3 linked regions of the Drosophila melanogaster genome follow. The protein of the gene in region 1 interacts with the protein of each later gene in a pairwise test. Each region holds a gene or a part of one and is shown in the gene's direction. Other genes may lie near its edges.

Evidence for each region. The genes of interacting proteins can lie anywhere in the genome.
Region 2: the proteins of CG4956 (region 1) and NFAT interact in a two-hybrid assay, tested with the Drosophila melanogaster proteins (one large-scale study listed by BioGRID).
Region 3: the proteins of CG4956 (region 1) and CG31955 interact in a two-hybrid assay, tested with the Drosophila melanogaster proteins (one large-scale study listed by BioGRID).

The regions. Positions count from the first base shown.
Region 1 is NT_033777.3:25,775,572-25,780,954, reverse strand, and holds CG4956 (uncharacterized protein), read left to right. Parts: upstream 1-2,649; 5' UTR 2,650-2,725; coding exon 2,726-3,634; 3' UTR 3,635-3,687; downstream 3,688-5,383. Other genes in the region: CG17195 (uncharacterized protein), read left to right, coding at 3,774-4,625; CG17196 (uncharacterized protein), read left to right, coding at 4,749-5,383.
Region 2 is NC_004354.4:13,643,457-13,648,178, forward strand, and holds the start of NFAT (NFAT nuclear factor), read left to right. Parts: upstream 1-1,722; 5' UTR 1,723-2,101; coding exon 2,102-2,348; intron 2,349-4,722.
Region 3 is NT_033779.5:3,711,381-3,714,625, reverse strand, and holds CG31955 (uncharacterized protein), read left to right. Parts: upstream 1-1,759; 5' UTR 1,760-1,843; coding exon 1,844-2,128; intron 2,129-2,180; coding exon 2,181-2,357; 3' UTR 2,358-2,400; exon of another isoform or gene 2,401-2,472; intron 2,473-2,557; 3' UTR 2,558-2,745; downstream 2,746-3,245. Other genes in the region: CG2818 (uncharacterized protein), read right to left, coding at 135-533; cutlet, read left to right, coding at 3,008-3,245.

The DNA.
Region 1 (5,383 bases):
AATACTTTACGCCCACAGAGTATCAATCATCAGACATTGTATCCGAAAAGGTCCTGCACACAAACACAGGCCATGTTCGTTCCAATTTTTGCACACAAGCACGCTATGCTGCCACCAAACCCAAACTCACCTCATGCAAATTGCAAACACATGTCGAAGGCGCAAAACATTGACATGCAAAATGAAAAATTTATGAAAACGAAAATGAAACAACAACATGAGCAGCGAAAAATATGTCGCGACCGGCTACAAAAACGAAGTAACCCAAAAAAAAAAAAAAAAAAAAATAATAATAAATAAAACATATTTTGCAAAGGCGAAATGAAAAAAAGTAAAATTTTCGTTTCGTTTACGTGAAACTTCCAACTCATTTCGCCCAAATGACAAGCCATTTTGTGTGGCAAGTGCCAAATATTTTACATGCCATACAGGCACACATATTTTGGCACCGAGGCAACTCAACAAAATGGAGTTCTCGTAGAAAAGCATCCACTGCGAACGAGCAGAACAGCTGGCTCGCTTTTGCGAAATCACTCATACGCAACGTTGCCGCCGAGCATTGAACAGCTTCAATTGCCGTTTGATGGTTCATTACAATTTTGCTTGCTGCATTGGCTCGGAGCAATCGAGCACAATAAATCGAGACCAGGTGCCAACCGAGCATTCTGATGCAATATCTTCAGAGCAGCATAAAGGTTTTTGGGCAGAAAGCATCCCATTTGCCAGGGGCACATATGTTAATTTAATGTTTTGCCGCAAGCTTAGATAAATAGCAAAATAAATTAAAGTGTGCAACCTGGCCTGCACAGTAATTGCTGAGTATGGTTGAGACTGAAAGGGATCTTAACCTAAAAAAAGAATATTCTCAACGTAGAATAATATTAATGGCATACCTGGCACACGTGCGCCAGTACTTACAATCATTACTTATCCTGAAATGGCAAAACATTAAATGGAGTACTAAGAAGGCAATTCTATAAGCTTGTGACATTCGAAATTGCTCAGATTTTGTGTTCCTGCTAAAATTTTGAATCCTCTGTAAGTTAATTCCTCTGAGTATAAAGTGAATGGGAGCACTAGTATATTATTCAGTACAATCATAGTCATTTTTTTTAGCTAAACAATATTTTAATTGCAACGTCATAAAAAATATACTCAACATTGTTCATACCACGCGGTATTTCCCCGTCGATTATATGTGGATAGACACACTTTCATCTGGCTTTTCACGCAGGTGCTTTCCTGGCTTGAGACACGCACATATCTAATTTTACACATTTTCCAAACTCAATTACATTCCAAGAAGTCGCGCCGTGAGATCTGGCAGATATGGGCTAATGGGGGAAAGTTATGTGGGTTGCCCCTACCAGGTAATTGCTTGCAAATTACACAGTAATACTCCCGACCTTCCCAGGGAAATAAAAACGAGGGGAGACAAAATGTGCAAACTCCTAACTGCGAAAAACTTTGCGGCACAGCTGTCTGTAGTTGAGAGTCTCCGCTCGTAATGAAATCAAACAAAGACACCGAATGCGAGCTGACTGCCATGGGGGCAAAGCATCTTAAATTAGCAGCAAAACTCGGCAATTATGCGAGAACTTGGCCAAAAGCAGTTGCCAACTCCGCAAGCCATTCTCATTTTTTGTATGCCCCTCCACCTACACCAAGCAAATGCTAATGACTCGTAGTGCCCACAGAAAGTCAAAGAAAGAGCTAAGCGAAAGTGGGGGAAAGTCAAGCCACAGGTTGACTGACAAACACATCGACGGCGCCGAGTGGCTGCCGGAAATGGCTGCGTCGAATAGCAGCACAAAATGGCTGTTTGTTTGCTTCCGGTCTAGGCCAAAGACGGCAAACACATTTAGCCACGAAGTGAGGAAAGTCCCGCCCCGCCCCATCGTACATATTTTATGCAAACGAAAAGCAAACTGCCACTCTACTTTACGGCAAAAAGAAAAACCACCTCAATAGGTGTGCCATACACCTCAGTGAACTTAAAATGAAAAACCGCGTCCTCACCAGCTTTCCCACCCGACCAGGCCACATTCAAAATGCTTAGTTCATATTAATAATTCATAAAAATTTATGCGAAATAGACAACATTCGTTCCTGCGGTCTAAACCTGGCCGACAGCTGCCATTTTGCGGTCGCTGGGCTGATGAAGTCGACTTAACCCAGCTGTTTCCTACATGTATTTGATATGCATTCCTCGTTGTTTTTATTCTGCTCTTTGTTTATACAACATACAGCTGCTGCAAAATACCATATTTTGCCATGCTGATGCCCTTTTTCCCTCCATTGTTTTTTTTATTTCAATTTATTTTCTGCTTATAAGCTTGCTTTATAAGCAAGGTTTTGCCTATACTGCTTTGAAAATGAAGTAAAAATTTGAGAAACTTTTAGGTGAAAACATTCCATAAGCCAAATCTTTTGAATTGTAGAATTCACTTAGAAGCGCCACTTAAATAAAAATTTTCTGCCTTCACAAATGACGCCAGCAATTATAAAACGTAATTTCGCAATAATCCGCTTAAAAAGGAAAAGAAATTGAATTTGAAACCACCCACCAAAGTACACATACATACAATGCCAGATTTTTACAATTCAGTGGGTGATGCGATTATGTCAGTTAGATACATATTTCCAAATCAAGGCAGTTCTGGTGCCCAAAGTCTATTAAAAATAATTTATTTGATAAATTTAACAATACGTCTGTCATTTATAAATGCTTCGATTTCGAGTTTTATTAAGATCTACTTGCGGTTGGAGTAGAAGAATGTGTTTTCGAGCCGAGGAAGGGTTTCATCGTCACTTTCAACTACATCGCATAAAAGTTATGGGCCTACTTCATCCGTTTTGTGCAATATTTTTACTCTGTCTGATTGGATTGCTGTTTGTCTATGAATTATGCTACGTTTTGCCGCAAATAACTGATCCCCATGGTATATGGCACAAATTGTGTTGGTTTATGGGAATTTATACAGTCATCAATATATTGGGCAACTGGTGGCTCGGCTGTATGACCAATACCTCAGTCGATAGCTTAGTTCTGGAAAGACAGTATCCTGTGGCAGGTGAGGCTCACCTGTGGCACTACTGCTCCACATGCCAAAAGCTGGTGCCACCGAGGTCCTGGCACTGTAGTTTGTGCAACATTTGCATTCTGAAGCGGGATCACCACTGCACCTTCTTTGCCAGTTGCATTGGCCATAAAAATCAGAGGTATTTCCTTGCCTTCTTGTTTCACCTGAGCTTTGGCAGCGGACAGGCGCTCGTCTACAATGGCATTTTGAATTGGACAAACAAGGCCTTTTTGGTCGTCGATCCTTTGTTGCTAATGTTCCAGGATACAACCCAAGATGCTGATTTCAAATGGAAGTACACAATCGCCAACCTTTTCAAACTGAATTTATTTCTTTTTGGCGTCCCCCTCTTCATGTTCGTCTTTCAAATGATAATGGTATATCGGAATAGTACATGCTATAAGATGCTCGATCGCAGCTATGATGTTGGTTGGAGAAGAAATTTTGATATGGTCTTGGGAAAACGGCGCTTCTGGATTTTTTTCTCTCCAACGATCTCAAGTCCTCTTCCTACCGATGGCACTCAGTGGTTCCAGAAGCAGACAGTGTAAATTTTGTTTGTAAAAACTTTGAATATAAGATAGCGAATAAATTCTATTATAATATGTCGGGTTGGCGTTTCTTCTTCTGTGATGTAAATGTTTCTATTTAGTCTATAATTTACAACAGAAGTTTTCAAAATCCTAAAAAATGTGCTACGTGAATAGATTTTGCCATTACTTTGCCAATCGCTACCCGAAGAACTTTGTGAGGATAGTGCATCCACTTTCGATAGTTTTCGTCCTGTGCAGCACAGCTTTCTTCTTCTCACTGCAGATGTTTTACATTGCGCCCAAAGTGTTTGGCGACATTGCTTACAAGCTCTACTGGATATTGGTCACCTTCATAACGCACAACATACTTGGTAACATGCTGGCCTGCTATATGACTAGCTCATCGGTAAACACCTTGTCCAAGGACTCCCGATGCCCGAATCCAGAGGATGAGCCCCTGTGGCACTATTGCGAATCGTGTAAAAAGCTGAGATCGCCACGATCCTGGCACTGCGTTTTGTGCAACACCTGCATTTTGAGACGGGACCACCACTGTATATTCACGGGCACTTGCATTGGACACAATAATCAACGCTTTTTCTTCTGGTTCACATTTTATTTAACGCTCGGCTTAGTCACAAGCTTTGCAACATTTTGTATGTTTATCCTGCAGAATGGCGGTAACTTCATGAGTCTCTCGTCTGTGATTTTTAATTTAATAACTAGGACTTTTTTCCAAAATTATACTGGCAATACTTTTGAGACCATTGCCTTCCTCTTGAATATAAGCGCCAGCTATATGCCTGCCTTTATGTTGGCATATCAAATGCAGATTTTAAGCCAAAACTCTACCTACTATAATATTTTTGATTGCACCTACGATCTGGGTTTCCGAAAGAACTGCCAGACAATAATGGGCCAACGAGGACTTTGGACTTTTATATCGCCCTTGCTGAAGAGTCCTTTGCCCCATGACGGTGCACATTGGCAGATGAAGCAGTCTCACTAAATTAATAGACGTATTACTAAATTATTGAAAAATATATATCGATTTTAACAAGCCAATCATAACTTATTTTCATCTAATGTCAAGTTGTGGAAAATACGGTGTTGTATTCAAAATCCTACAATCATGTGTATCGTAAATGATTGGTGCCGCGAATATGCCAATCTCTATCCTAAGAAGGCCGTGAGCATAGGACATCCTTTGTCAGTGATTTTTTTACTGGTGAGCACGGTTTTTTTCTTCACGCTGCAGGTCTTTTATGTGGCCCCCGATGTGCATGATGGTTTTATGTATAAGTTCTTTGTGATATCAGCGATTTTTACAACATACAATATCCTGGGAAACTTGCTGGCCTGCTACCGTACAAGCTCAGCAGTGAAAAGTCTGCCTCAGGAGCGGCAAATTCCGAAACCGGGAACGGAGCACCTGTGGCATTATTGCGATATCTGTCAGAAACTGATGCCTCCACGATCCTGGCACTGTGCACTGTGTAAATGCTGCATTTTGAAGCGAGACCACCACTGCATCTTCGCAGCCACTTGCATCGGACACAATAATCACCGATATTTCTTCTGGCTTACATTCTATTTGGCATTTGGGATTTTCATGAGCATGGCAACCCTATTTGTTGATGTGGGAAGGAGCTTTTATCTTTTGCACAGAATGAAGGCTGGTTTTGGAAACACAGTAAAATCTTTAAGTTACTTTCGGTACGTGTGCTTGATTCTCAATATATTTGCCCTCGGATTCCCTGCCCTCAT
Region 2 (4,722 bases), on another chromosome or scaffold:
TTCGTGGGACTTTTTTTAATGCATTTCGCTGAATAGTTTATTTTAATGCATATTTCCAAAGAGATTTTTTTTTGTGTAAGATTTAAGATGTTTAAATTAAAGTCAGCGAGAAGATTTTTGAAGGGATTTAGCTGGTTGCTGTCGGAAAACAATGGCAACTCGAATTTCCAGACTAGTTTCCTTAATCCGTGAAATTTCTGAGCATCCTCACAGATTTCCCAACGCTTCCTGATCGTAAATTAAAAGCGAATAATAATCTGAGCTGCGCGCAGATCAGATAAGATCAGCTTAGTTTGTTCTGCTCACTTCGAGGCTCGTTTATTACACGTTCAATGTGGGTCAATGAAACAAGATCATGATTTTTCACAAAACCAACGGCTACATAGTCGCTACACACATTACACACGACACAGCACATACACACATATATATATTAAAAAAAAAAAACCGATTGCTGATAAATACACCGTACAATTTCAATGAGCATTTAATCAAGCCAAGAACTTGCCTTGGCATTTGATTGTCAAAAAACGAAAAAAAATAATACCAGAGTACAGACCAATCCATGCCGAAACCACAGGCCATTGAAGGCAATGCCCAAAGGAGGCGGTGGTGTGGTGGGGCTTACAGAAGAAGGGGCGGGGTCGTCGGTGCTAACACACTTATCTGTGTCACCTCGATTAGTCGTTAAATTCGTGTACAAAAAAAAAAAATCTGAAATGCACTGAGCGAAAAGCGGTTGTTAAAGTCGGTAAATTACGGTATAGAATATGTAAAATGGTATTCAATACTTTTGAGACTAGTTCTTATCACGGCATTCATAGTTGAAGATTTCTGTAATTTTATTATTCTCAGCATAAATTGTAGTTCTGAGTGCCTAAATCATTATGGTATTGAAGCGTGTAATGTGTAGTTCTTTGAGACCTTGTGGAACTTGCCACTGAAAAGGGCTTTACATTCCTCTCCGAAAAGTAAAAGGGCATCCAAACAAGTAGAACAGGGAAGAATCTCGAGATCGTGTGGAACTCGTTTTCCGATTCCGAACTCTAACTGTAAACGGGTACGAAGATCATGTAGCAAAAACAAAATAATAATAAGACAGATACCAGGAAGCTATTGAAGGATCAAAAAAAAAAAAAAGATGAAAAATGGAAAACAGAAACGAGTTCAACTTTTTCAAGGCGCCTTGGACAACGAAACCAGTTTGGGGAAAGGGAAAAAGAATGCACTTAAGGTCCCCCGCCCAATGCAACTTCTCCCCCGATTATCATAATCATTATCAATATGCAACAAAATGATCATTAAACCAATGCGATCTTCTTATTTTCTGCCTGCTCTTGTCGCTTGGACTTTGAACCGCGCCGGCTATTAAAGATGATGTGTGTATAAAAGTATAAAAGCAACATTTTTACATCGCTCAGTCGGATTCGGTTTTTCGCATCGAGCTGTAAAAACGAAATACAAAAACAAAACAAAAATCCAAAAAAGAAAAAAAAAAAAACCAAACGGCCATATGAATAAATAAATAAGCGAAGTGCCGAAACAAAACAAAACGAAACAACGAATTTTTCAACCTGTTTTCGAAGCGTTTCGAGTGCGTTTTACGAGCGTTTTCTAAGCGTTGCAAAATGCTTAAAAACGTTACGTTTGGGCGTTTTTCTGTCGATTTTCACGCGTCTCATGCATTATACTAAGTTGTATTTCTTTTTTTATTTAAATAGCTGGTAGATACAAACAATTAAAGCAACTGCAGAGCAAATTTACCAACAAACAAAGCAACAACACACAAAACAAATGTACAAAGTCAATCCAAAATTACAAATATTAATTTAAAACACAAAGAAACAATTAAATGTGCCAACAATATTTACCAAATCAACAAAAACAATACAAGTCAGAGGGAAGACAACAAAATCGATGCCTGTAAACATAATTATAAAATATACTAAAAGCACTTATCCCAAAAAGAGAACGAGAAACTCGAGGAGAGAGTAGAAAGAGTGGAAAGAACAATCACTAATCGAAAATAAATTAATTGCACCACAAATAGCCATAAGAGTTAATTAAAGTTATTTAAAGAGTCCAGTGAAAATCAATCAAAATGCGATTCACCTACAATCAGTATAAACATTATGAGTCCGGTTATCGGATTCCATCTAAAATGCATAATCTGAGCCATAATAACAACAATAATAGTAATAATAATAATAATGGGGGTGGCCACACCAACAACAACAACAATGGCAACAATAGTGGCCATCACTATGCCCATCACAATAATAGCAACAATGGCGGCAATAACAACACAAATTTCCAAGCCTATCAGCATCATTACAAAAGTAATTTCGGTAAGAATGTGTTACGAGATGTAGTATGAAATACAATAGAAAGTATCCTTAAGATATTTGCATAAGAAAAGTTCGTTCAAATCTTGTACTTACACTCTGAGTACTCATGAATGTTTGATTAGTGCCCAACATTCTGTTATTGTATCAATTTTATAGGTGCCCCATAAAGATATATACCCCTTCGTTTCTCGAAAATTATGAGTTTCTAATATCTTGCTACGGTTTTTCGATAGTTAGACCTCGCTGGAATGCCAGCTGACAACAAGAGTTAAACGTTTTTTATTCACCAATTTGTATTTGTATGTATGTACAAACATACATTCGAAATCCAGACATCGCCTTAATTGTACTATCCCAACATCAAATGCTAATGGGCTGGCTTATCGGCAAACACGCCACAGTTGTTTAGGCGAATCAAAAAAGAAAAACAAATCTCTTGTTGCGCCTCCGCTCTCTGATAACATGTCATAATCGATATGGATGGGTGTTCCAGGCCGATATTTCCTAGCCAGCCAGCCCAGCAAAAGATCCAAACATTCAAGCACAAAATGTCGAGGTCCCCAATCTCCGATTACGCGAGAGGCGCCAGTTGTCTCCGGTGATTCAATTCCATGCTCCTTCATATCGGTTTTACTTCTTGGTCGGTTGTCGGTTCTTGTTTAACGCTTTTCGCCAGTTGCCAAGTTTGGCCGAGCGATAAGATTACTGGCAAAACAGTAAAACTATAGCCAAGACGCAGGCATTTCAATCAAACGCCCGAACCACTTGACCAGTCCGCTAATTGGATTGTGGGGAGATGGTAACAAAAATGAGATCAGCATGGAGAAGAAGTGATTGTTGAGCGATCTAAACAAAATATGCATGGAAAAGTAATTGAATATTTCTATTAAAGATGTGGAACATTTTAAAGTACCTACAACCATCTACTTTCAATTGAACAAATTGGCCCGACTTCTTAGGTTTTCATTTCCGCTATGACATGGTTTTCGATCCACTTGACCGGTAGGGGCTCATCTTTCACCGTAGTGAAGGATGTACAATAGCGTACCGGGAGGGGGGGTGTTAGGGGGGTGGAGCACAGTGGGTCACAGTGGGCTGGGTTCAATACACTTAATTTATTGTTTTTATTGACAATCTGTTTTGGATTCACCTCTACGAAGCTGTTATTTCGTCCGGAGGAGTCTGCGTTTAATTATAGAAATTGCAAATTCCCGAGACAACCAACATCTGTGTTTAACTATTCAGGTTGATTCTTTACACCAACCTCGCCCTGATCTCCGCTGTGAATTGAATTAAAGTCACCTTATTCGTTTTGTCAGCCAATTGAGTGCAAAGCCTGAGTCTGCTTCTGGTGTATCATCCTAGATAGACGAAAGTGGCTTTAGGCTAGCTCCGATTGTCATATCGTTAACGTATCCATTTAACCGCAGTATCTTTAGTATCTATATCTGCATATGTATCTGTATCTGCATCTGTATCTGTATCTGTATCTGCATATATATCTGTATCTGCATCTGTATCTGCATCTGTATCTGTATCTGCTCTGTAATAAGACGACAGTTTAGCTGCTTGGAAACAATGGGCGCATATCGCCGCGTATCATCTACCACCACCCACCCCGCCACGGATCCCAACCCGTGTATCTGCCTTATCTGCAGCCGTGCCAGGTAAAGCCCATTTGGCGGGATCCGTTCTGCGGGTTCCCGCTTTTGTGTGCAGGTAGTTGGGCGCGTTCCGCAAGCCCAACAATAAATGTTTGCCTCTTTGTTTGATTGCCAGCCAAGGTTAGGCCAAAAGGGTGCGGATCGCGTGGGTGTTATTTATTTATTTATTTATTTTTTTTTGTACCTATGCCCTCTTGACAAGAGCCAAGAGTCGAACAGATTTTCTCACCTTCCTAATTTGTGTACCACCCATGTATGTCTACATAATTTCCATCTTTTTCCGAATTTGTTTTTTTTGGGAGCGCAACGCACGTCACCGAGGGATATTCGTAATTGAAGATCAAAGTTTGTTTGCTTTCGTTGCTGCTATCAAAGGCGCTATTGTTTGCTCGATTCTTATCTCATAAATTAGCTCGTAATTGTTTAACGATTTTACCGGAATTAAGGAACGGAACATAGTTTCATGGGAGATTTCTACAGAATTAAATGGATTTCGTTGGGAATTGGGCGTTCGAATTTGACAAAGTAATTTAATAGTTGTGAGCTTATTTTTATGGAAGGTTTCTTTTTAGAATTACGCCTTTTATTTGTCATCATTTACTGCATTTGACACTTTTTTATATTTGATTGTTTGCATTTATCTATGTTTTCCCATTGGAAGCGAAAGGAGCTATTTTATCTGTAAATGCATATTAAGCTTAGGCAGTTGA
Region 3 (3,245 bases), on another chromosome or scaffold:
TAGCAATGTTATTGGGCTAGCTCCAAACCATGAATCCCATACGAGTGCATACAAATCAAATCCGATCCCAGGTCCAGCTGGATTTTTGGACTCTACTCGTATAGGGTCGGTCAGTACATAATGAATTTGTGAACCTGTAATTGCGTTTCCCAACGGCGGACAATCAGCTGCTCCGTGCCGGGATCGACGGCACAGACCATATAGCGATATTCCGTGTCACAGTGACGCGGAATATAGATCTCTCCTGTCCACAGATTACTATACTCATTGTCCTCCTCATTTTTGGACAAAATAGCCGCTCCCGAGTGCTGCCAGTTGCCCAGCGCCTCGCAATTACCCACTATGGCCAACTGCTCGTTGGGCGCCAGATCCTGGTTCATCAGCACCCGAAAGGTCCACAGTCTGTTGGTGGTAATGTCGCCAAAGATCCGGCGGGACTCCAATCGACTGCCGTTTTCCGAGGACGCAGGACAGGATGATGGCGCAGCCATCGCATCCTCATCGCCGTTATGTGAGGCCAGCCAGTTGTGCATTCTGTGGGGATGGATAATAATTAATATCTATATATAATCCTTAGCTATATACACTTTGAATAATAGTAGTTAGCAGCAAAGAACTAAACTAATTGTTGAAACTCAGTATAATTGTATTGTATTGCATGCGCACAAGTAATTTATGCCAACTCTCTCTTTTTTTCGAGTACTACTGTGCTCGTTAGCGTATACGCACTGTACTTCAATTATTTTCAGCTGCGGTCACAAGTTGTTTATTGTATCGAGCGCAAGTAATTCGAAGATATTAACACAACATTAATTTCACTTGCAGTCCGCAATTGTTTTTGGTTTCCCTTATCAGTGGATGACGTAAATAAATAACTTGTATCACTTACTTTGCGTTGTTGTGTGCTGAAATAGAAGAATAAGCCGAAATCGCTTTGTTTGGATTCGATTTCTCGCTCTCCTCCACTTTCTCTCTCTTTGATTTTCCTAGATTTTCTGTGATTTTCCTACGCGTACACGAAACTATAACAAACGTGTGCAAATTGAGGAGTCGCCCGATTTTTTGATCATAGCAGCTGTTTTTGGTTTTTGCTCACGGATTTCAGCTAACAACACATGATGTTTTTCTCTTTTCGTGGCGGGGGGGCTTAACTCTATAATGTGGATATAACTTTATATTATCTGAACGATTTCAGCGCCGCAGGGGCTTCCGATCCCCTTGAAACTGTGAGTTGCATTATTTTGTTATCTATATATCCACTGACCGATTCTAGCGAGGGATGTGAAAAGTATTTGAATGTCAAGATATCGATAGGTTTTTGATGAAGTAAATATTTTCACAATGCTAAATGCCTAAAGCACTTAAAAATAGTAGATGCCTTTTTAGATATATACTACATACTACTTACTTACACGCACTTAAAATACAAGTTTTATATTTGATATTTGAGCGCATTCTCACAGGTTGGCAACGCGAACAGCTGATTTTTAGGGTGACCGTCTTCCGCAACAGAGTATCTCACAGTTTTCGAAAAGTATCTCAGCAATTTAGGCAAAGTTTCTGAACTTTCAGTTACTACTTAATAAAAAGTTTGTTGGTTGTTTACCTAGCTCAAGAGATTCTTTCAGATTTAATTTAATAAAACCGGTAGCTTAGGATTATAAAATTAACTTTGACTTTATTTAATGTCCCTCCCGCGCGAATGCAGCTTAGTAAAAATGAGTCATAGTGTTCAGATCTGCCTACATTCCAGAAGCTTGCAGTATTCAGTAGACATCAGTCGAGCGCAGAAGCTCTTCGTGATAAGACGTCTTCAATTCAAATTTTTTTTATCGAACACACCATGGAGGGGGACAAGGTAGTTTTTCATAGTTCTGATCTACCATACGAATATTTATACGACGACGAAAAACACGTTTCGCACATGCCGGATTCCAAATTAAGTGTACGAAATATTTTGGATTCAGCTTACGCTTCTGCTGAAGGCAAAATTATAACTAGGAAACTTTCGCGCAGCATTCCGCCGTATCCGCATGCTGTTCGAGTAAAAAATGGCATTCGTGTTTATGAATACAGTGAGCCCAGAAAACAGAGCTACAAATCAAGTTTATGGAAGGAGGCCTACAATGTGAGTAGGAATCGAAGAACACATGCTGGACATTTTACTTGCTTTATTTCAGATACTCCACCAGCGGTTGGATATTGCCGAGCCAATCGCAGCAAAGGAACACGTGAGAACGCAGATACATCCGTGTCTGCACAAGATCAAAGGACTTCTAGATCCGGAAACCTGCATCAAGTGTCCGCGGTGTCATAAGTCCATTTCGTCCACCAAAGTTGTGAAAAGCTTTGCATAGTGACGAATGCAAGCCACCTTCAACATATATATCTATTATAGAGGTTCAATATATGCTCAAATCAACACATGCATTTATATATATATATAATATAAACAAAGAATGCAACAGCCCTACAGATGAATCGTCATTTTCTTCTGTCATTTTGCTAGCTGTAATTAAAAGGGAACGGGAAATGTGCTCTCGCTTACTGATTATAGATAATGACTTTGATTTTGAAATAAGGAATGCAAAGAATACTCATTTTCGTATTCACTTCCATTTTGGCGGACTTTCTTTATCAGTAAACAAAGTGGAAGAAGAAGAAACGAGAAAGGTAAACAAGTCAATACAAAACAGTTGTTTGGAAAATGTGCCATAGTTACCAAGTGCCTGCACCAATTTTAATATCAAAACCAATTATTGAAACTAGTTATATAAGTATTTTTATTTACATTCAATGCATTTATAAATAAAATAAATCAAATAATTTAAGCTTACTAAATCAATCAGCTTGTGACAGCCATCACTTTGATAACGATAGTTGGCAACTCTGCCATCGAACAGCTGTTAATGTTTGCCATTTTGGCGCGAAAATACCAGTGTAACAATTTGTTTATATATAATAGGATTTTATTAAGTTGTTTGTTGGACGCTCGTTTGAAACCAGTATGGATCAGTATCCGGACGAAAACGAGGAGTTCGAGCTGCAATACCAAGACGAACTAGAGCTGCTGGAGGACTTGCCGGACGAGTTTAACGCGTACGATGGACCGAGCACATCCAAACAGGCCGCTGAAAAGCAAAAGGAAAACAGAGCTCCCGTTGCGGCACTAAGAGATAGCACCCGTCTTGGAAACTCTACACTGGGATCGCCACAGCTGTCGCAGATTACCTTTGGAGCTAGCC